Styela clava: one gene and its partner. The protein of the gene in region 1 purifies or fractionates together with the protein of each later gene. This does not show direct contact. Links are inferred from orthologs where the notes say so. Each region holds a gene or a part of one and is shown on either strand. Other genes may lie near its edges. The genes, in order: U6 snRNA-associated Sm-like protein LSm1 and protein PAT1 homolog 1-like.

The links.
Region 2: the proteins of U6 snRNA-associated Sm-like protein LSm1 (region 1) and protein PAT1 homolog 1-like purify together in Homo sapiens (co-immunoprecipitation; 3 studies listed by BioGRID and IntAct, with this or other methods). This does not show direct contact. The link is inferred for Styela clava from reciprocal best matches to the Homo sapiens genes LSM1 and PATL1.

What each region holds. Positions count from the first base shown.
Region 1 is NC_135262.1:4,893,705-4,904,886, forward strand, and holds U6 snRNA-associated Sm-like protein LSm1, read left to right. Parts: upstream 1-7,319; 5' UTR 7,320-7,419; coding exon 7,420-7,827; 3' UTR 7,828-8,003; downstream 8,004-11,182. Other genes in the region: COX assembly mitochondrial protein 2 homolog, read right to left, coding at 2,006-2,077, 2,249-2,329; translational activator of cytochrome c oxidase 1-like, read left to right, coding at 8,071-8,326, 8,659-8,771, 8,843-8,970, 9,291-9,462, 9,854-10,105; oxidoreductase NAD-binding domain-containing protein 1-like, read right to left, coding at 10,083-10,352, 10,734-10,830. UniProt on the Homo sapiens protein: Plays a role in the degradation of histone mRNAs, the only eukaryotic mRNAs that are not polyadenylated. Probably also part of an LSm subunits-containing complex involved in the general process of mRNA degradation.
Region 2 is NC_135258.1:12,737,154-12,750,392, reverse strand, and holds the start of protein PAT1 homolog 1-like, read left to right. Parts: upstream 1-6,760; 5' UTR 6,761-6,991; coding exon 6,992-7,027; intron 7,028-8,102; coding exon 8,103-8,172; intron 8,173-8,394; coding exon 8,395-8,644; intron 8,645-9,027; coding exon 9,028-9,139; intron 9,140-9,608; coding exon 9,609-9,743; intron 9,744-10,158; coding exon 10,159-10,316; intron 10,317-10,868; coding exon 10,869-11,052; intron 11,053-11,594; coding exon 11,595-11,759; intron 11,760-12,496; coding exon 12,497-12,717; intron 12,718-13,239. Other genes in the region: WD repeat-containing protein 17-like, read left to right, coding at 699-4,583. UniProt on the Homo sapiens protein: RNA-binding protein involved in deadenylation-dependent decapping of mRNAs, leading to the degradation of mRNAs. Acts as a scaffold protein that connects deadenylation and decapping machinery.

The DNA of each region.
Region 1 (11,182 bases):
GAAATGCTCATTGCTCACAAGATTCTGAAACGTCGTTTCAAATTATATTATTTCGTCACAGACACAACTTATCGACATATCAAGCAAGCATTGTGGTATTTTCCCTTCCACATCCAGTTTGAAATCTGCTGGAATTCGTCAGTTTTCTTTTCGAACTCATGTTTACAAAATAACTCCAGATAGATTGATTACCAAATGTGAGGTACAGGAGCGTAATTGCTAACTTTTTTGACATCTAGGCAGCATTTTTTTTAATACTGCTGGTTGCAAAAAACACCCGGCATGAATTATATTGTTGGGCCATAACATTAATATTTAGTTATCTGGCATAGCCAACCTAGGCTAATAGAATCAGCATTCGATTTCTAGTTTTCTATGATGCCAAAATTGTTAACATATATTCCCTACCAAAAAGATAGTAAGCCAGATAACAATTTAGACTGCCAAGTACACCATTCAACTTCTCCGCTGCACAAAATAATAAACAAATACTTGCCGACCACCAGGAAAGGTTAAGCACTACATGAAAGTTTTAATAAGCATTTTCGGCGCCGTTTGGACGAAAAATGGCCAAATTATTGCTGAAAAATCCAGTTAAAATCCAAGTTAGACAAGTTCACGATAATTGCCGATAGGGTTGCCAACCGTCCTTTATTTCAAAGGACAATCCTATATTTGAGATTTTTTCCCTGTCCTTTTTAGGATGATAATTGTCCTTTATTTTTTCCAGCGTCGTTTTGCCCGATTATTCTTTTTTAATTATTCTTTTTAATTTCGCTTTGGTATGGCACAAATAGCAAATAGCCAAGAAATACCAATTTTATTAACAATTTCAAATATTTTACATTAATTTTCCGAAGATGGCAAGTGGCAACACTCCAAGATTTGAGTGAATTCTAGTTCAATAACTTTCTCCAAAATATCAGACACTTGTAAAAATAAAAATTGTAGAGCATTTGAAGCTAAAAAACAAACTTAATTTGAATATGTTTGACCTATTTGATGAAGTTGCACTCATTCAAAAAAAAATTTGACACGATTCAAAGCACTAAACTGTTCACAGAATGCAGCTTGATTGGATCAATGTTAAATAAACATTAAATGAAAAACAAATGAAAATTTTTTAATATATCTTTTTAGCTTGTATATAATTTGTATTTAATTGTTTTATATTGTTCTTTCCTGCAAGTTACAAAATAAATGATGATGGTAATCTATGTCCTTTATTGAGAATTTTCATAGTTGGCAACCCTAATTGCCGACCAAAACAAATTTCAATTACCGGCTTCCAATTCTTAGTCACTTATGTGTGCATGTTTGACAGAAATTAGGCGACCCCGGCAAATCTTCACGCAACCCCATCCGGGGTCGTGACCCACAGTTTGGGAGCCACTGCCCTAGTAAACCCCATACTGGAACCTATAGAAACCAGGTTATGGGTTAACGCAAGATTTTTCTCAAAAGATTATTGGATTTAACATAAAGATTGACACTGTTTATTCTGAGAATCTCATTTAAACAAGAAATTTCTGAGGGAAGGACATCTTATAACATTCTCTGAATTCAAAGCCGTTTTTACGAGCTGATAACATTGCTTCATATATGGACCATTTATATATCTGTTGACTAGTTTATTAAAAGGGGTTCGCAAATATACGTGAAGGATCGAAAGAGTCCATAATTTTGCAAAGACAAGAAACCGAAAATTGTCATCCGATTCTTAATGCCATTGTTATGAAATGTAAAACTTAATGGTTATTGAAAAGTATCTTATTTAAAATAAAATACGAAAGGTTCATAATTAATACAATTTCCTAGATTAATTTTCTCTATCAAAGATCAAATACAATCTATGCTCGAGTCTGTCCATCTGATGCAATTTTGGAAGGAAGTTATTTCTAAAACACCCAACAAAGGATTTACAAAAAGGCATCCAAGTAACATTTAATTCATTTATATTATTACCGTCTGTAAAATAAACTACCGTAAGAATCTATTATCATACCTCCCTCCTGAAGCAAGCTAACATCTCATGATCAGCACGGTTACATGCTCCAAAATATTGCTTGAACGGATGCTGAAAATAAAAATTTGAATATTGTCACTTCGTAAATAAATATTATGAACACCTTTCCTGTTATTCTTATTGGTTATCATTTTTTTCAACCAAAATTTTAAGCCATTAATGACCTCAATAAATGAATCACCAAATGGTCCTGTATTGTATTTATCACAAAATAATAGATACCTGTTTTCTGCACATCAAAAGAGCATAGATCTTTTCATTGCATTCTGGAGTATGAAGATGCGGGGAAAGATTTGGGTGCATTTTTATATAACAAATGAATAGTCTGAAACTTATCACCAAAAATTTTAGCTGGCAGTTCTTGGAAACTGATGTTCACGAAACGTCATAAATGAAAACAGAAAATACAATTTCCTAACAGTGAAAACTCCTTTTGCCGAATGTATACATGCAAAGTACAATGTCTAAACTCAGGTAAGTCTGATATGCATATTTTGTTAAGAGTTGTCCTATAGCATAAAATATTTATTAACCAGACAAAAATACTGGCCACACATTTTTACTTCCACATTAACAGCCTTGTTTCCAATCTTCAAATACTATCATACACCACAGATATATATAAATATGATATACAATGCGGAAAACATATGTTTTGCCATTTGCTTGATGAGAAAGTCTCCAGTTCTCAGAAAATATTTTCACATATCTGTTAACTGCTTCTCAAGAGCTTTGCTTTGAGTGTAGGTGTGAAAACAACTCATTGCTTAAAAGAGCAAACTGCAATCTAGATACAATTCTTATTTTTCCAATAACATGTCTGGGTTGTAGGTATGATATATTGTATGCATACAATTCGACTGTCAAAATCAAATACAAACATAAACTATGGAGTAAATGAGTGAACACCAATTTTAAAACGAATGAATTGATGTAAAATTATACTAAATATGACCTTAATAAACTTCAAGTGAATATGGAATTTATTAATTTGTAGTGTTAACAATAACCTATCATTCATTCATGATATGGCTCGGCCAATATTTATCTTCAAAATATGAATCTTCTTGCAAAATCAAACTATCAAGAACACCCCTATGAGTTGCGAGCCACTCATTTTCAACTAATTTAAAAATATCCAACGTGGCAGTTGCATCTTCTACAGAACAATGGCGATTGTGTTGTATTTTTCGATCGAGCAACTGTTTTGCAAAAAATTTCAAAGAAGATCTATTTAAACATAATGAGTATTTTTCTCTGTATTGGTCGATTAATTTTCTTGCAGAACCATAACCAATATCAATTGTATGTTGTTTCGGATGACTCATCTCTAAAGCAGTGAGATCGTTATGAATACTATGTCCAACAACAAGTTTCCCTTCAATGGCTTTTTTAACTTGTTTCTGTGCTTCTAGGAAGGTAACGCAAGTGTCACTATTCAGTAGTTTTTTAGTCATTCCACTATGAGGAGTTCGATAGTCAACGACTCTTAAAGTTTGCTTTACAAACAAATCAAGTACAGTTTGTCCATCGTAGTTAATAATTGAGCAACGAGCCAGTGAATTAGTGACACCTTGACATTCAACCATTTCACAATCAAGTGCAACAAGTATATTTGACAAAGATGAATTTTTTCTATCACTTTGCTCTGGTTTTGCTAAGATCCTGCAGTTCGCAAGAGCAAGGTTTGAGCTTTGAATTGACAAGAGTCTCAATCGTTTCGATGCAAAATAAGAAGTTGGTTCAGTCAAAATTCTTTTTTCACATTGTTTTTCCCTTTCGATGGATGATCTTCTGAAGGCACTGCTTTTAAATCGTTTAATTTTATCAGGAGTTCTGCCTTTTCGTTTTCTTAAAATTCCTTCTTTCCATGAGTTGTTATTTGACAAATTTGCCATATTCTTAGTTCCCAGTGTACTCCAAACTATACCAGAAGCAAATTTACGAAACATGAAGTCGGGGTGACATTAATATTTTGATGAAATTTGACCAAATACAAATAGATTGTGAGAGGTAGCTCTCATCCACACAGTATGAAGATTTACAGTATTTAAAATATTCAATTGAGCTGTTATAGAATGTTTGAGATTATTCACTATAAATATAATACAGTAATAGAATAGGAATTTTATATTTGTCCCATGGATATTGAGGGAAGCCGATAAGATAGCCTTATCATATGACAAACCCCGGCCCTAATGGTGGAGGGAGCTGCAATCCACCAACTATGCCTAAATCACCCTGCAATGGCATGCGTCCAGCAATTCTCTTATACCCAACTACACCCTACAAGATTTGAATTTGTGAACCCACACAAGGTAATCCAGTAATTAGAGGTATGATCTAATAAGGTACTTGCAATGTGCCAACCGCTCATCAAAAACATAGATTGTGACAAGAGGAAAATCCATTCTGAGGTAGGATATAATAAATATCGTCTTTTCTTCTGAAACCAACCGGTAATTGGAAAAATCATCACGGTATTGCATAATCTTGATTATAAGTATAAGTTTATTTTGACTCAATAATCAGCAGTAGACCTAAAATAATTGATAAAAACAAAATATAAAACACTGATTATAGAATCGAGAAAGCAAACGAAACCTCAAGTAAGATTTGAAGCATACAGATTTTAGATGGGAAGGTATTAATAAAAGAAGTAGTACCGTACATGTTCACTCACCCAAAAGTATTAAAACTAATTAAGGCACGCACGCACATACAAGCATCGGGTCTAGTATAGTTTAGTACCACAAGTACTTCCAGTTGGCGTATCATAACGAATTTTGCATATGTTATGCCCAACCCCCACCTGACTATGCCATCCAAAAATTACGTCACCATCATGCAGTCATGTCATAGGGCAGTAGGGCTTGCCAAAGTATGATTACGATCGTCCGAAATGGCATCTGCGCCGCCGATAACGAACTCGCTAAAGCCGGCAATCTCTCTCCTATCGTGATAATTGTGACAAGAAAACGGAGGCGCAGTTCTTACCACTTCATGGCAGCTCCTGCCACGAACGTACCACGCCGTCTCCTGCCATGGTTTTATGGCGCTATTACCGGTATATTTACAAATTTAGGTACCATATTTTAGTTTATCATGCGAAATTATATCTACTTAAACTCTAACCCTAACCCCAAATCCATCCAAACTGTATCCATAAGAAAAACATTCCAACTCACCAAATATTTATCACCATCAGCAGATTAGGGGCAGCCCTGCTATTACAGCCGACCTGCCGTGGTTACGGCAGTAAAATTGGTGGTATTCGATTTGCTGCCGTAACCACGGCAGCTCGCTATTGGTTTGTGGCAGCTAAAAAGTCAGTCGCCGTGGGTTTGGTCTTAGTGGCCGTGGTTTGGAAATCCCGCCATGGTTTTGCGGCAGCTGTAGACGCCACAAAATACTTGAAACTGCACTTGAGAAAACGAGAGAAATAGCTTGCTCGATTTCGGGTGATCGTCTGCGCGCTTTGGACGACCATTCGCATACTTTGGTGGGCCTTATTACCGTACGCCACTGTGACGTCGAAATGATGTAATTTTTGGGTGACATAGTCAGGTGAAGGTCGGAAGTGAAAAAAGCGAGACTTGTCATAAAATTTTACTTCAGGACAGTATGGTACTGCAGTAGGACAATGTTCATACCGGCAGTTAGAAAAAATAGGTACCGGTACCGGTAGCCTACAATACCTACGCTACTGTACCGGTACCGGTACGGTATATCCCATTTTCTTCCTCCTCGGGATGCTCTGTATCTGCATATAAGTCTAGTACTTATGACCTCTAGCATTTCTAAACCCCTGCGCACACCGGTAATTATATGCCAGAGGACTGCTAGACTGACGACTGAGCTCTCCGACACCGTCGGTGGTTATAAGCATGGTTGTAAAGGTGACCGTACATTTGAACCCATGCGTATACCCGCGGGTTCAATCTATATCCGGATGCTAAAACCCATGGGTTAGGGTTAGCATGGGTTCAAATATATGTAAAACAAAAAAAAATTTCATAGGTGCAATAATATGCAGGTGCAAAGCGTGGGTTCAAATGTACGGGAACCGGTTGTAAAATGTAAAGGATAGTATTCACATATTTTCATACAGAGAAGTAGACCGATGAGACGGTGAATCTATGTCGGGTAGGGACCGGTCAGCCAGAAATAATTTAATGATCAATCAGCACTCAGTGCGGTCTTCCGAGCAGTTTTATTTTAGATGCAGCAATCCAAAATCAGTCACGAAAAAGCTGCGATAGTTGGATAGACTGGGCTAAAATTGAAAAAAAGCACCTGGTTAAATTGTTTGAAATGGGAGATTGTTTGAAGTTCGTTCATATATAATCGTCCCAAATACGATATTGAAGAAAATTAGATAGTCTGTTTTTCGACATTTGTGGTTTCAATTGGTTAGCAATACCATTTAATTGATTTTAAGTCTCCTTTTTTCACTTCCGACAGTTTCATGTCTCGATGATTGTGTGTGTGGGTGCGTTCCCCTAATTAATTTTTTTTCTTTTGGGTGAGCGAAAACGTACTACTTCTTTTATCAATACCTTTCCATCTAAAATCTGTAAGTTTCAAACCTTACTCAAAGTTTTGTTCACTCTCCCGATTCTATAATCAGTTATTTTTGTTTTCATCTATTTTTTATCGCTTATTTTGCTGATTATGGAGTCGAAATAAACTTATTCTTATACCATTGGGTACGAGGGTACCATAATTATCTAATGTCCTTTCCAGTGCTTTTACTAGTCATAATTTGTCTAGTCTTAATTGTAGTAATTGCCAATTATTGTGATACATTGTTGTTATACAAGTGTTGAAGATGTTTATACCGCTATATTTATATCGTGGGTATTTTGTAGTTGTACTAGGTGTACCCGAAGAGGTATTAATATTTATTTATTTGGCTCAGCAGTGTGGCGCATCGTGCTAAGCGTTAGGAATACGCTCGCCACCGCATCTCTGATTACCCTTCGTGAATTCGCAGGTTCGAATCCCATGCGGGGATGATCATGTGTGAATGCTAGACTCCCCACCGCCGTAGGGTGGTTCACGTAACCACTGGTCGGTTACGGCTTCCGCCACCATCAAGTTCATGCTTCTGAAAACAAATAACTGGCTAACTAATCCCATACCCGACCTGGACCGGTAACCCTACGAGAGGCCGTGATTCGCCATATGACTAAGCTGTTTTATTGGCTTTCCTCTCCCCTGGGATAAATATGTAAATCCTTCCTTCATTCCTATAAGATGCCTATTTGTGACTGCTGTCAGCAGGTTCATTTTTAAGTGTCATTTCTGTATTTTCAGGGAAATCTGTTGTATGCTGGTATTGTGAACAGTATTAAAAATCTAATATCTGATGCAGGCATATTAGTGTAATTATGGATTATATGCCTGGAACAGCAAGCTTGATTGAAGAAATTGATAAAAAACAACTTGTGGTTTTGCGAGATGGTCGAACTCTTATTGGGATATTACGAAGCATTGATCAGTTTGCTAACTTGGTAATTCACCGGACTATTGAGCGAATACATGTCGGTAAAAAATATGGTGATATACCAAGAGGAATATTTGTTGTCCGAGGTGAAAATGTTGTTCTCCTTGGAGAAGTAGATGGAGAAATGGACAATGAAAGTGACTTGAACCTTGAAAAAGTGTCTGTTGAAGAAATATTGCAAGCACAGCGTAAACAACAAGAAGAGCATATGGAAGAGAAAAAAGCAAAATTGAAAGCAATGAAAGAAAGAGGACTCTCTTCGAATGTTGAACAGCAGGATGATGCATTTTAAGCGCAGCAGATATTTAACAAACTATAATATCTTGTCAATCATGATTGTGTTTGTGTGCGTAACATATAGCTATTGCTCAGATGAAAATTATGTGTGAAGGTCCAAACATGCTGGAAATGAAATTTCGTTACTTTTTAGTAGTCTTTTTATTTATAAATATTCTCTTCTTTCAAAGATATTACAGTAGAATTTTAATCACAATGTAAATGGAAGCAACATTTTCAAGTTTGGAAGAGTTTCAATATGGTTTTCATAATCAAGCTTACATGCCAACTCGTTAAAGCGGCTGTACCCTCACTGCTAACGCAAAAAGTCCTTTTTATAACTGCCTTCCAATCAGGATGTTTTTCCTCACAAATTCGAGCACTTGGGATGACAAATCAATGCCATGGGGGCAAAATGTTTTATGATAGTTTTAGACGCACTAAGGAGTCTGGTGAGAGAGCAAAAGCAAAGTTGTTTTCGAATCTTGCTCGTAGATTGGAAATCGCAATAAGAGGTAAAAAATGATTGTACTATAACATGTCATAGCACTCATAGGTTTTCAGATTTCCATTCTATTCCTCACTGGCTAATTCTAGTAAACCGCGTTGGCAATGCAGGTTATGCATTTCGTGTTCAAATCCCATTCCAACGACCAAACCAGTGTAAAATCAATTCGAAAGGTAATGTTAAACCGGTAGGATCCTGGTATATCAGCTCCTTGGATATAAGTGTTGCTTGTACTTGCCTTGTTCAGAGCGAAAAGCTTAAACAAGGAGATAAACAAATACTCTTGCGTAATATGCAGACCTGATGATAATGAAATTAAGCTAATCCCATGTTTTTCAGAGGGAGGGGGCAATGATCCAAAAAAAAATAAGCAGTTGGCTGCTGCAATACAAGAATGTAAAAAGGCAAATATGATGAAGTCAAGTATAGATAAAGCTCTATCAGCGAGACAGGCAAGTGATACATTACCGCATCATGGGATATTTATTTATATCATTTTATTTATACATATACTTTTTTATAGGCAAGTGAAGAATTTTCTTTTGCGCTCAGTGGCCCAGGCCATTCAACATATCTTATTATCTGCGGATCAACTGCGAAGCATAATGCAAAGCTTGCAATGTTGTCTGCAATAAAGATGTTACCGCAATTGTAAGTTTTGTTCTTCGAATGGATTTAACCCTTCTATGCCATGTACCCTGTTCATTTTCTTCAAGCTTTCTAACAATATTACACATAAGAATGACTCAAATACTGTTGTTAAATTGAAGTCGAAACTGATGACTTTTCAAATACATCTCCATTGCATGGAAGCATAACTCGTATCACAATCGATTGGCAAAAATAACAGTTTGTGCCGGGATTGTAAAGCACGATTTAGATGAAAGTTAATCTCTACTTTTATTTACTTTAAATGCTGCATTCTTTTGGAGCTCTATTTTCCCAATAAAAGTAAAAGAACTATTTTTCAGTTCATTGGTTTCCGACTCTCAAATACAGTTCGACCGGAAAAGGATTATTATCACAGACATTGGACATATTAAAGATAATGAAATTACCGAAGAAAAAGCAACAGAAATTGCTATAGAGATTGGAGCAGAGGATGTGGAAATTGTGAGTGATGACCAAGGCAGTCTATTAAAGGTATTGAAAAGATCACAATGATGTTTGTTGCAAGTAGTTGTTTTGAAGTAGGTATAAATGCTACAGTAAATACAACTAAAACAATGCGATACCAGGTTTGTTTACGATGCGCCAATTTGCAAGGCTACATTAAATTCGTGATCTTAGAAATTAATTTCATTAACATGAAAATAGAGATATAATATATTGTGTTCTTTTTGACTTTACTATTCTGCAATATTCGATTTTGGCTATACCTGATTTATATTGTAATTTGCCCCGACAAGACTCTCTGAATTACTTGGATAATTCCCTTATTATATTAAACAACAACCCTTCACTTATCCCTTTCATAGATACATCTTTGCACATATAAATACTATATTGCATAAAATTCAACAATTTGTTTCAGTTCACATGCAACGAGTCTGGGCATAAAACGGTTGAAGAAGCAATTGAAACAGATCTAAATGAATTGATAATATTTCAATCCAAAACTGAATATGTGCCAAATTCATACATCGACTTAGAGGATCGAGATTTGACAACTGCAAAACTATTTTATCAAACACTAACCAAATTGGATGCTAGAATACCACAGAAGTTTGAATTTATAGATATGTTTCATAATGTAAATGGTCTCACCACCACTTCTCATATTTAACATTATCACTGTGAAGCCCTAAATTTTCTAATTTAACTACTGTTGCATCGATAAAACCAGGTGGACCACATATATAACACAGTGGACTCTTTTGAAAGGAATTCACCGTTCTTTGTAAATGATCTTGTGATATTCGTCCATAATGAATAGGAATTTCATCTTCTATTTGCTGTAATTTATTTTCTTGAGTGACAAATAGTTCATATTCTGTGTTAGGTGTTACTCTGCAGATGTGTTGAATTTCATCCTGCAAAAAAATGGGTACTCCCTAGTATGTGTGCCATGTTAGGGTTAGGCAATAATTTTATTCCGATTTTCCTTGTTTTAGTTCTATTAACGAGTTCGGGGACTGTCTGTATTAACCAAATGAACATACCACCTGCCCATACTAATCAGTCCCTTTACACAACTAAAGTAGGCGAACAAAGTTAGTTACCTTCGTATTGGTACATACACTTCTTGAGCGCCAAAAATTGTGATCTTCTGCTACATTATATGTTTCAATTCATATACGGTGTTGCAATTAATAGAATTGGAGAGTTTTTCCATTATGGAATACTGGAAAAATTGTCTTATTTGCAGTCAAGTACTTAGTAATCAGACGGAATTAATATCATGAAAGTCTAACCTTAAATAGTAGTTCCTCTGCTGTCCTTGCACAGTATAGCAGCATTGTTGAGATTTTATTATCGGAGTACCTTTGAGGATCTTGTCTGAGAAAAGCACTGAAATATACCAATTTATTTAATTAACATGATTTTAATTATTAGGAAATATCAGGTACAAAACAGAGTCTATGTATGTGTAATAACTGGTTTATCTGTACCAGGTTAGGGTTATGCCATAATTTCATTCCGATTTTCCTTATTTTAGTTCCAATACGAGTCCGGGGGACTGTCTGTGTTAGCCTAGAGAATATACCCCCTGCCCATAGGCTTCAGTCCCTTTACACAACTTGATGTAAAGTGGGCGAACAAAATTAGGTATCTCCATATTGGTACACACACTTCTGTAGCGCCGTGTTTTGATATACGATTCAGCCAGCTAATCCATTTAAGCAAATGAATTTTAAACACA
Region 2 (13,239 bases), on another chromosome or scaffold:
TCATGAATTATTGAATAGTTAATGTATAATGCTGATATATATGGTGAAGAATATTAAAGCTAATGCTCTTTTTTTAACCCTTGTAGCGATTTTATCGGTCTGCTAGAAGCATGGTATTGATTTCATCCCGATAAAGATCAGCATAATATGCGTACATGCAGCACAGCTAATTGTGTTCACAGTGGTTAACACAAGATTCAGTTATGTGTAATCATAATTAGACAAGTATTTTTAGGGAAGATTTTCTTTCTAGTATAGTTCGAGAAGCATAATTTCTACACATAGTAAGGTTGCCTACGCACATTCACCCTAGAGTAAAATGCAACATCAATTCATCAAACTTCATTGTATATCATATAGGTATATTTAAAAACTGATCAGTATTTTATAAAAGCAAGAGAAGCAGCTGGTCAACTTTCACATGTGGTATCAGCTGATGCACTTTGGAGCATTAACAAATTTCTATATTAACTGACCTAGAAAACTCATTTAACTAATTACTATTGTTTCAAATTTAAAATGTTACCATAATATTTTTTTTTATCATTTAGTATTAATTTCTCCTTATATTAATGATAAACATTCGATAATAACTATGATCATACTTGAATCTTTGTGATAATTGAATGATTTCATATGATCCGATTTCTAAGTTGTAATTTCTTGGGAAATCAATCGAGATTAATTGAGACTTAAATATGATGCGTCAAATAGGACTTCTACCTGCAGGATGTCAACCTTGGTTCTCAAATATGATTGTAGGTACAATGTCAAAATTTGCATACTGTTCCACAATGGCAGTCTACATATATGAAACCTCTTCTTCCAGTCAGGAGTATAAGTTAACAGCTATCAACGCAGAACATACAAAGACAATATCTTCTATTGCATGGAATTCAAGATGCCCTAATTTAATTGCAACATTTGGTGCTGACTTGAAAATAGTAATCTGGGATGTCTCAAAACAAAAAGTAATCGCACAACTTCCAAATGTGAAGGTAGTATCTTATTGTATTGATTGGATCAACGGGCAGCCTGACCCACAAACAATTTCTTACATTGGTGTCGGTGGACAGTTAGAATCATGGAATATAAGTACTGGTAAAGTTTCTGCAGTAAAAAATATAACTTGTTCTGGTGGAGGTAAAGTAACTATGTTTCGATGGCATCATACAAAGCAGAAGACAATTGCATTTGGACATCATGATGGCAGTATTTCACTTATTATCCAAGGGAAGAGGAGAATTTTGAAGTCTGCTGACAATGATGAAACTGAGGATCCTGTAGTTGTATTAAGCTGGGATCCATTATCCAATGATTATCTCCTCGTGGCAAATAAATTAACTGGCATCCGCCTTATTGATACAAATAGTGGTTCAGTAATTTCAAATTTCTTTTTACCAAGTAGGGCTGTTTCCACTTGTTGCTTCTCATGGATCAACTCAGCTCCAGGTATGTTCTTAACTGGAGACAAAGAAACTGGAACACTAAGGCTTTGGACGGTTGGCCAGGATCAGCCGCTCGAAAATTTCAAAGTAAAAGGCACAGGCTTCAATGGAATTCATGTGCTTGATGTTACACAAGATGACAAATTCTATGATGAAAATTTACAGCCAAATTCGATGCAAAGAAAGAGTTCGCAGTCGCAAGTTTCTTCTCATTCTGTACCTCCTGCTCATGTTGTATGTACATTTCGTGATGGTGGAGTTGGTCTGTATGACTTGCAAAAGAGGAAATGGAAATTCTGTAAAGATCAAGGACATATTGAGACCATATTTGATTGCAAGTTTAAACCAGATGATCCAAGAATGCTAGCTACGGCCTCTTTCGATGGTACAGTAAAAATATGGTCAGTGAATGACTTAAGTGCAGTCAAAACATCTGTGGGAAATGAAGGTGTGATATATTCTTTATCCTGGGCACCGGATAATTTGAACTGTGTTGTTTGTGGTACTCGACGTCATGGTGCTTTTGTTTGGGATTTTACAAAAGGAAAGGTAATAAAAAGGTTTTCAGAACACGGATATGCAGCTGTTTTTTGTGTTGCTTGGAACCAGAGAGATTCTCATCGAATTGCATCCTGTTCAGAAGACAGCTATTGTATTGTTCGTAGACTTGATGGAAAAAATGTACAGAAATATCCACATCCAGACTCGGTTTATGGCTGTGACTGGAATCTCTTTGATAAGAATATATTAGCAACTGGATGTGAAGATGGCATAGTCAGGATCTGGAACGTTTCCAGCGATGTAACGACAACGTGTACCATGGAATTAATGGGTCACACAAAAAAGGTCTTCAACATCAGGTGGCACCCCCTTGTGAAAGATATTCTTTGTACTGGGTCAGATGATTGCACAATTCGGATATGGAATATTGCCAATAATGGAGATTCTACATGTATAGGAGTTTTGTCTGGACATACTTCCAAAGTTCGAGGTTTGACTTGGAATCATGAAATTCCTCATCTTTTGGTATCTGGATCATGGGACAGCACAATACGTGTATGGGATGTTAGAGAAGGCAATCAGAAGTGCTTAGAAGTGGTAACTGATCATGGTGCAGATGTGTATGGTCTTGCTTCACATGTTTCAGCACCTTTCCTTATAGCCTCTACGTCACGTGATTCCACCGTTCGTTTATGGACACTTTCTTCTTCCTTAACATTACTGTTTGCAAAAATTATTGTGGGTCATCCCCTTGATGACATTCGAGCATCTGCCACTGAAGGTTTCGGAAGTCAATCCGGATTAAAATTGGCTGGAAGTATGTCAAAACAGATTGTTCAAGAGTTGAAGAAAAAACAGAGGAAACCTATTCTGAAACATAGATGGTTTTCAGAGCTCTTCTGTGCTATACCTTCCCTAGAAAATCTCTGGGATGTTGCTTGTTGTTCCATGGGCACAAAGGATGGTTCACTTTCTACTCAGTATAAAACTGGAATATTGCATACGAGCCATATAACTAAATACAAAGCTGCAGAAGCACAAGAAATAGAGCTGTCTACAGCAAGTCACTCTTCTCCTGGAAACCGACAGCAAGAAGCTGCGTTAGAAATAGCTTCTAAAATTCATCTCAAATTAGGAAATTTACAGCGACACTGTGAATTGCTGAAGACTCTTGGTCGATGGGAGACTGCTTTGTCACTTGCACCTGGTGTATCCATAGAATACTGGAGAATTCTGGCAAAACAATATGCTAAAATTCTCAAGAAATCAAATGATGTGGAAGCGCTAAGTTATCAAATTGCAACAGGTGATAGTCAAGCATGTATTCACGATCTGATTTTAGCAGGAGATTATGAAGATGCTCTTGTAGTTGTGCAAAGTGCTATTGAGTGTCGCACTCCTTCATATGCTCCTGTTCCGAAATCTCTTCAAAATGGTGATACAAAGAGTGAAGAAACCAGTGATGATACTATTGATAGTGATGATTTAAAACGGTTGAGGACTTCTTGCATTGAAAAACTGTGGAAAAAGAAGTACTCAAATGGGGATCCATGTCGGGCGGCAACTTATTTAGTTTCTAACAATGATGTTGTTGGGGCTATGAATTGTCTCATTAATGCAAATGAATTGCTTCTTGCATTATGTGTTGGGCAGGCATTTGCTAACAAGAGCACCTCCAGTTATTTGGTGGAAGCCTCAATTCTATTTTCAAGGAAACTTGAAGCTGAAAAGCACTACTTTTTTGCGGTTGAGATTTTAAAAATACCACTGTCTGAGGGAAATGTGTTACATCAAATGTGGAGTCCTATTCATGCATCATGTGCAAGATATGATGGAGATGATGCCCATAGAGAAAATTTGTATATCTATGCAGGACTCGAATCCCCTATAATTTTTCAGCAAAAAGGTAAACAATTTCAAGAAGACGGCCAAAAGATAGAATCAATGTATTGTTTCCTGCTCTCTTCCACGCCTGAGCTTGGGTTGAAAATTGGCTTGGAATTGCTTTGCAATGAGCTGAAGTCAAGTTCATGGACATTGTCAACCCCTTCTGTTCTAAGTTTAGAAGCAGTGTTTTCTGTATCCTCTAAAATTCTTTTAAAGCCAGATGAATGTCTAAGTAAGAACATTTTACTTGCAATATCAGCGTATATGGGAGCATTGAAAGCTATCAACAGTGGATACTTTTCTGTTGTCACTCCCTTATTTGAACATGCAATAGCAATGGCTGAAAGAATTGAATTGATGCCCAACAGCAGCAATAATACATTTCCGTTCAATTCTCAAGAACTACGACAAGATTTAGCTGAGTGGAAACAATATGTTTCTTCACTTAATCAAAAACAGGTGAAGAAGGAAGGTGTTGAAAGAGAGCAATCTGTTGAAAAAATTCTCCATAGAGCAGAAGTCGAGACAATGGTGATTGATCCTGCAAATGAAACGATTGTTGCTGGATCAGGTTTGCCATCTCATTCTGACGTTAATATTTCCTCCTTAACGAACAAAAGAATAAGAGGACCAGTGTTTTGGTTGGAGGATCATAAAACTGTAATATCACTCAATGAAGCCATTATGTGGGCGAGAGTGAATCAGTTTTCACCAACGGGATCTGGAGAGAGAATAATACCGTTTTAGTGTTCTTGATTTTGTTTTTAGTTCAAATCATAGCAGAGTATCATATTGCTTTATAATTATATTTTTATCAAACACCACTGTCTCATCAAATAATTAATAGTGTTTAGATCTCGACTAGTATTGCACTGTTTTTTTATAATTTGCTTATTATTTTTTTACGTTGTGCGAGGTGTTAATTTTAGGATTTTGCACATATTGGTTGTTTCTTTTGTGATATGTTTAGAAAAACCTCACACTGGTATGAAGATGTCACAAGTTGAAGGTGATCAATGGAATAACGATAGCTTGCCACCAAGGCCTGACTCCAAATTTAAAAAAAATAAATCGTTTTACATTCGTTCGCTGGGAACGTCGGTGATCCAGATTATTTTAGTTTCATTTAAAGAATTCAATACTGTCTTTTGGACGTCTGAAATTGCACTTTTTGTTAGTTGAAAATTGTTTCGACTTCCATATGTGTCAGATGGATCTGGCACAGTGAGCTAGTAAACTAACTCACACACAACCTGGAAAATACATCCATTTACCGAATTTACAATCGCGGAAATTTGTTACTAGAAAAGATAATTGCGCCAATCTGATAGAATAAGAGGTGTCTGCTTTTTAGCAGTGCGTTGTATAATTTGAATATTATTTAATGCCATGAAACTGGGAAATTGAAAAAGCGGCGGACCTTCGCTTGTGCGATGCATTTCGTACGACTCCATGGCTGGTAAACAACAGGCTGAAAGTGGGTACGAGTATTGTCGAACATAAGTTTATTTCGACTCCGTGATTAGCGTAACAGTAATTTAGGTCGAGGTTAAGGTTTTGCCCAAGAAGCAGTAAGTGTTCTCTCGTTTAAAAGTGTTAAATTAGTTCACAGAAACGTATGCACACAAAACTTCAGGGTTATGAGGAAGTAGAAAATATCCTACGCGGGAGACTGTAGATAAAATAATAAATGGAAAAAGTTTATAAAAATTGATTGCCGCGTCATATTGATAATTTTACAACAGTTGCCAAATTGAATATGAATATTGTAAATAAAAATATTTATTAAAAATGATATCGCCAAGCTGATTATGGTTGGAATCGAATGCCAAATTGACCAGAGGTGGGCTAGGCCCAAGTTTGATTATATCACACTATCACACACATTGTTCAAGTCAAATCCACACCAAACCCTTAAGTAAACACAAAATACATTGCGGACATTAGAAAAAAAAAAGCATATCAATTTAGAATCACATAGTTAAGATAGGAGAGCTGATATATATATATATATATATATATGAGCTCCTTGGTATCCGAATAAATAAAGTTATGCCTTATTCGAAGATGACGATGTTTTCACGCTGTATATACATAATGTCCTGACATTTAATTTTTGTCTACGGAAAGATAAAATACAATTACAGACCAGGATGAAACTGGAATCTGCCATTTCTATATGCAAAACGCCATCTCTGGCGATGCCGTAATATTGTACAACAATGAAATTAGGCATCAAGTGTCGATACCCTGATTGCCCTGCGTTGGTTAGAACTATATGAGACAATATTAGTAAGATGGTATCCCGAAGTTTCCGTCATCGTGTGGACTTCTTATCATTCGCTTTCATCCATATTCAAGTCTACGAACCTGGAATAATTAAGTAGTTATCTATTCTATTCATCGACATGGGTAGTTCGCTATTGACCCTTCTTTCACAGAAATAAATATGAAAATCGCATTTATTCTGCGTCCGATAGCAGCATACGAAAAAGAGAGTGGAGAGAATAATAATAAAATTCCAAGTACAACGTCGAATGAATCAGGGCATTGTCTGTCATCGGAACAAACTGAATTCGTGCGGTTCTTGCCAAATGGTTGATGACGGTAAACTTCCGCATTTCGCCCCAATAAGAATATATGTTCGCCCATAAGAACGGAAGCTTCTTTTGGCGACATTTCAAAACCGAAATAGAACAAAGTGATAAGTTTTTGAACGTTCGTGGATATCCAAGCTTTCCACATGTGGTAATCCTCGTACACAAAAGTCACTTGATTTAGGACATTCATATTTTCGCTTTACATTTTACACGCTTTACATTTTGGAGACAATGTGGATGTCCATACTAAAAAGTATACTACATATCCGAAACGATCTTTTCTTTTTTGTTTTTGATGTTCTATAGTCTATACCGTTCCTTTACAAATTTGCCACTAGATGCCATAAGTATTTGTCAGTCACGGACGTTGGAGGTGTCTCTGCGTTTTCGTATATTGCGTTTTATACCGGTAACTTAGCTGGTTTCATTACCGGTTTTTGTGAAAGCACTCTTTGAATGTTGAAATGGAGCTTCAGGACATAACTTAGTAAAGACATTGTTACGTGTGAATACAAAATAAAGGAAGCAGAGGGGTTAGTTGGCGTGAATGAAAAAATGAGCGACCCCTTTTTCTTTGCTTCAAAATCTCAGGTGAGATATAAAAATGTTCTAATCAAATAGAATTATGTATGTGTGGGTAAAATGTGCGTTTTTAGTCTGCTCATTGACTTTAAGTCATGTGTGATAGTTTTACTGGTACCGTATTGGACAGTTGTATTCCAGTATTTTTTATACTTTTCTGAAGCAATCTGACTGTCAAGTGGATACCAAGTCCTTAACTTTTTTTAGTCAGAGGTTCAAATTTTAAAATGCTTTAGTTAGGATTTTGTTATTTCGAATTCAATCAAAACTTTTTTATCCAAATCTGAAAACTGGAAAATGGGGAGTTGAAATTTTGTCGAATGGGTTGTATTTATATGAATTAAGTTTTGAGTCTCATGTAGTTTCGTACCTCAAGTACTTCTAGTGGGCGTAGCAAAACGATTTTTGCACATGTCAATCCTAACCCCCACCTGACTACACCATCCAAAATTACTTCACAATCACGTCATAGAGCTTGCCAAAGTATACCTACGGTCACCCGAAATGGCATCTGCATCGACGATAAAGAACTCACTAACAACAACGATCTCTCACTGATCGGGATTGTTGCGACGCGAAAACGAGAGAAATATCTTGCTTGATTTCGGGTGATCGTCTGCGCGTCTTGGATGACAATTTGCATAGTTTGAAGAGCCTTATTACTACACTAGACCCTAATTTTTGATGTCTTATATCATGGATAAAAATTTGCACAGATCTAGAAGTAGTGACCACAGAAAACCCCACAAATATCAAAGCAAACTGCTGAACAATTTAGTTATATTAAAGGGCCCTTAATCCTGTATTGCGGCTGAATGAAGTCAGTATTCAACAATTGATTGTACTTCATATAGTCATAGGAATATTGGCTCAAGGCAATGGCACAAAAATTTATAGGACTCATACAAGAGACCCATGTTTTGCCATGTAATTAAGCTGAAGATATTTGAAAAATCCAAACTTGTTTGCTTAATATATTAATAGACTTAAGTAAAAAAACAGTTGCGGTAAAGAAGTTTTCAGAATGTTCTAACCTCATCATATAACCAGATTTTAGTTACTGACCAAACTACTTATTATTCAGTTTCGTAAGGATGATTCGAGAAGAAATATTGACCTTCTGAATGATGAAACATTTGGATCTGGAGCTGTTGGTGAGATCTTTATTTTTTAAAAGCAATTAATACTTGTAATATAGTAAGGCGTTATTTTGCAAGCTGTCTTTTTATCCTACTCTCACAGACTCACACATGGAGTTTTAGATATGGCCTAGTGGCATATGATGCATTTTTGCGTCTGTACATGTCTGTCTGTTTTGAGTCTGCCTTCAGAGTAAATTGTATGTATTTTCAAACCTTACCAATATATTCTTGAAGATGATAACTGGGAAGATGAACATAATCAATTTGTTGAACAAAATTCACGGGGTAGTAGTCTTAGTGCAGTTGGGCGAATGGAAGATTATCTTGATGAAGATGAATTGGAACTATCAAATCAACAACTCGCAGCTGCAGTAGAAGAACTGGTCTTGAACAGCGACCAGGATCAAGATGCAATTGATCCTGCCATTGTTAGCTTGCGTAAAGAATCACGAATGGGTTCATATGATCCAAGACTAACAGAAGAGTAAGTTAAAGAGTTTATTGTAGAAATTTGGCAGCGGAATAAGTTACCAATTCTGCGTCTTTTTATTAACCTCAATTATTCAACCTATTGACTTTAAATATACCATAACAATTACCGGTATGTTCATCATTTAAACTATTTTTATTAGCATTCAACAAACAATAATTTTAGGATCATGTTTTATCGTCCCTAATATGTAATTTCGACGACAATAGTCCCTTTTTTTGGAAGCTTCAATTATTAACAAATATTTTAGATTCTCACCAAAATTTTGTTTTAACTTTGAGGTATGAATTGCTGTATTTCATTGATTAATGATATTATAAAACTTGTTTAATCAAGCCATATTACTCTGTTTTTACATAATACTATTCTTATTCCAGTCTCATATCACCATATATGGGTGAAAGGAATAATTTTGGTAGAATAACTCCGACATATTCTTCACAAAATTCTTCATCTTCATCAGCTTCACTCTTTCAAACTGATGGATTGGTGAGAGTTATTTATTGTATATTTCACATTAGCAACAGTGTAATGTACCGGTACTTGTTGCAATTCATTAAAATCTTTTGCAAGTTCTTTTAAGAATAGTTATCATCAATTTGGCGCATATGATAGCAATTAAAGTATAGGTTGATATACGCTTTACAAGTTCTACATACTCATACCACATACATTACTGGTCTATTTCTGGGACTCGCCTAATATGTGTAGGGTTGGGCCATAATTTTATTTCGACTTTCCTTATTTTAGTTCTATTACGAGTTCGGGGACTGTTTGTGTTAGCCAAGTGAATATACATACCCGCTTTCTATAGGCTTTCGTCTGTAAAATAGGCGTACAAAATTAGTTACCTCAATATTGATACACATACTTCTGGAGCGCCCTATTTCTACCAAAATTTTTTTAAATAGCCTAGTAATTTGGATATAAAAATCTGTAAATTTGAATATTTTTACAGCGTAATATCTGGAGTAATACTGATCTGGAGGTTCAAGACTCGTTAACAAAGTCACCATCCATGATATTGGAACGTCAAATGTTGAATGAAAAGTTGAAGAAAATGATGACTAAAACTACGTCACCCGAATTTGAGGCAAGTTTTTTGCTCGCTTTTTTTATCTTGTCATTTGTTCATTTTAATGTTGGATATGCCTTTGTTTAATTCTGAATTTCTGAAAAATTGATTTTGCTTGCATAAAAATAAGAAATTTTGAGGACATACCAGATATGGTATTATATTCTTAGGAATGTTAATAAGCTCCTGTGGTATGAATTTTTTTGTCTTGAGGAAAGGGTTTCGGGCAGAAATGAATAACGTATTGCCGTTCAAATTTTTCAATTTTCAATGCCTATTTATTAAGCTTTGCGTTTGGATACTACTATAAAAAAATTATCCATAAAATAGCACACTTGCAAAATATTTAGGCATTTGTTTTTGTGTCTAAAATCATCCTGATATTATTACTTTTTATTTTTAATGCTATTAGTAGTTTAATTTTATATTATAGGATGAAGCAATTCTTTCAGCTGTAAAAGCAAATCCCATGCCACAAAGTTGGCCAATAACGTCGCAATCTGAAGATTTACTTCGTCACATGTTTGCTCAGAAACAATCTATGTTAAGAGCTGAGGACTTGGAGAGGGAATTCTCGGGTAGTCAACTGAGGTAAGCAGAATGTAATTTACAGTGAAATTGATTTTCATTTATATCATGATTTTTGAAAATAAACATGTTGGATCGTCCTTTCTGCCACTTACTGGGATGAAAAAATTTGATGCAAATGTGTAAGTTTAAATAGAATTATATTGACGGAATGGGATATACCTTTAGCTGATCACCATGCAATTATAATAACTCGTAATTTTTTTACCTGATACAAATGTCAAATCTCATTCTAATTCACTGTATGGGTGGAAACAATTTTGTGTTTGCATGGCACACCAGATTAGGAATTAATAACAGAACTGAATAAGGTTTGTCTGGCATGTTGTGTTTAGGTATATATAGGAGATATAATATCTTGTTCCTAGAGGATTGATGTTACTGTGACTACAAATTCCTGCTATTTCTTGCCTTGAAATAACAATTTGACTATGCACAATCCATTGTGTTATTACTCAGTTATTGATAAGATTAACCTATATTTTAATTTATTTCTAGAACACTACAGGCTAAATTATATCTCTGGGATTTAATGTTTGTTATTTTTCCATGCAGGGGACCATCTCCAACATTTGGTATTAGCATTCCTAAAGACAATGACCTGAATCATAATGGAATGGATAGATCACTGCCTGCAAGATCAGTATCTCCGATCATTGGTAGCCCAACATCACATGCTTTGCCGATTGGAACACCACCTAAACATATAGCTGATATGATGCATCAAGCACACAAACAGGTTAGTGAGTTAACATAATATAGGCATACTTGAGCTGTGGGGTCATTTTTGGCATGTTTGAATTGATATTAGAGCTGGAGTCGTATGGTCAAACTAATTTCAGCTGGAGTCGAAATTTTGAATTTGTACGTTACTGAATTTCAGACTTTTAATATTGATGGTAATCAATATCAAAATTCGGACCTCCAGAAGTATGCGCACCAAGATGGCGCACAACCTGAACATAGTATGTGTGTACCGGTCAGGATTCACGTTGTGCGACATCTTGGTGCGCATACTTCTGGAGCACCCAAAATTCTATGCAGAAACTTAAAGGCATTAGCCAACTACGCTATATCTAACAATTGAAAATACGCAAAATCTTCTGTTAATTCAGTTCATTTTTCTTGGGGCTGAGTCCGTTAAAAAAAATTCTGTCAACTGTAAGTGTGTCAGAGTCGTTCTTTTAAAAAGGTTTGCGGATGGATTCACATATGTCCCTAATACTAACAGCACATTACAAAATTTTGATTTCAAATTCATACATTTTTATTTTTATAAAGGGGCTCGGAGGACCACATCCTGGCTTCCCTCTTCTTCAAAGACCTCAAGGTTTTATGGTTCCTCCAGGAAGAGCAGTACCTCCACCACCAGGCATGGGACCACCTCGGTTGTGGCCTCCTCATGGAATGATTAACAGACCACCAATGAATCCTCTAGTTGCTCAGGTTCGTATATTTTTCTCAGTATTTCTGTTTTGCAATAGTTAGAATCCTTGTCGATACACTTCTACATATACAATTCTGTGACTTCCATCTGACAAAGAGCTGATTATTGCAAATGCATAAAGAAAATGGCTAGTAGATAGTTATTTCACCAATTTCTGAATATATATCTGAGTTCAAGTGTGTAAAAATTGACCGGCCTTGAAGTTTAAAATTACATACTGGTACTACCAACGAACATTTTTTTCTTAGTAAAGATAATTTCTTGAGATACTTTGACTCTGTGTACACAGTCTATAGGTAAGCTATAGCCCCAACTGGTAATCGAATGAGAAGTTGGGATGTTATCAGTTTTGAAAGTTATGTTATCAGTTTTCCTGTCTAATCTTTCCTATCAGTTTTCGTATCTATCCAAATATAGATAATGCAATGTGAATTTTTTCAGAAAAATTTTGCGGTACCCCCCCAGTGTGTGTACCAGGTTAGGGTTAGGCCATAATTTTATTCCAATTTCCTTTATTTTAGTTCTGTTACGAGTTCCGGGACTGTCTGCGTTAGCCAAGTTAATATATCTCCTGCCCATAGGTTTCAGTCCCTTTACACAACTTGATGTAAAAATGGCAAACAAAATTAGTTCTCTCCATATTGATACACACACTTCTGCAGCGGCGATTTTCAAAATACTTCTCAATGCAACACTGTAAAGATCCCAGTAAATTTAACTAAGCTTTCCTACACAGGATATCATGAATCGGATTGGTATAAACAAACCATTTGCAATGATGGCAGGATCACCACCAACAAATATGAGTCCGATAGGATCACCTAGATTTGTGCAAGCCCCTCATTTGATTCCACAACCAAACATTGGGTTTGGTCAGCAACACATTATCAGACCTGGACAAGGTCCAACAAGATTTCAAGGACCTTTGCAACAGATGAGACAATTCCCTAATCAAAGGTGACTACTTAATCATTCTATTTCTTTATATTTCATAACAATTATATTTGCATTGTCATACTCCTATGTAAAGTCATAGTCATGGGTATTAAAAAAGAATCAAGTATTTGAGTTAATTATATCGATATTTTGAATTTTTGATTTAGGAAAATTCGAATAGTTGTATTTTAAAAATTATAACTTTTGAGTGATAATGAAGTCTCATAGTGCAATTGAAAAGGGGCTTCATTTAATTTCTGAAATTCATACAATATAGAGAACAAAGAAAATAATTGTTCAGGTTGAGTTTAACTTCAATATTCACAAGTATTATTTCAGATTTTTTTCGAAATAGTAGAATATTTGGTTCTAGTCGTCCCGAATAATAGTTATTTTAACAGAGATCAGGAATTGGATTAATAGGCCGATTTGTGCAATATTAGAATATAGCCATCCCGTCACTTGATCCCTATATTTTTTCAAATGGTTTTAAATTTTTTTTATTTTTTAAGCTTTTCTGTTTGATGTTATATTTATATCTGA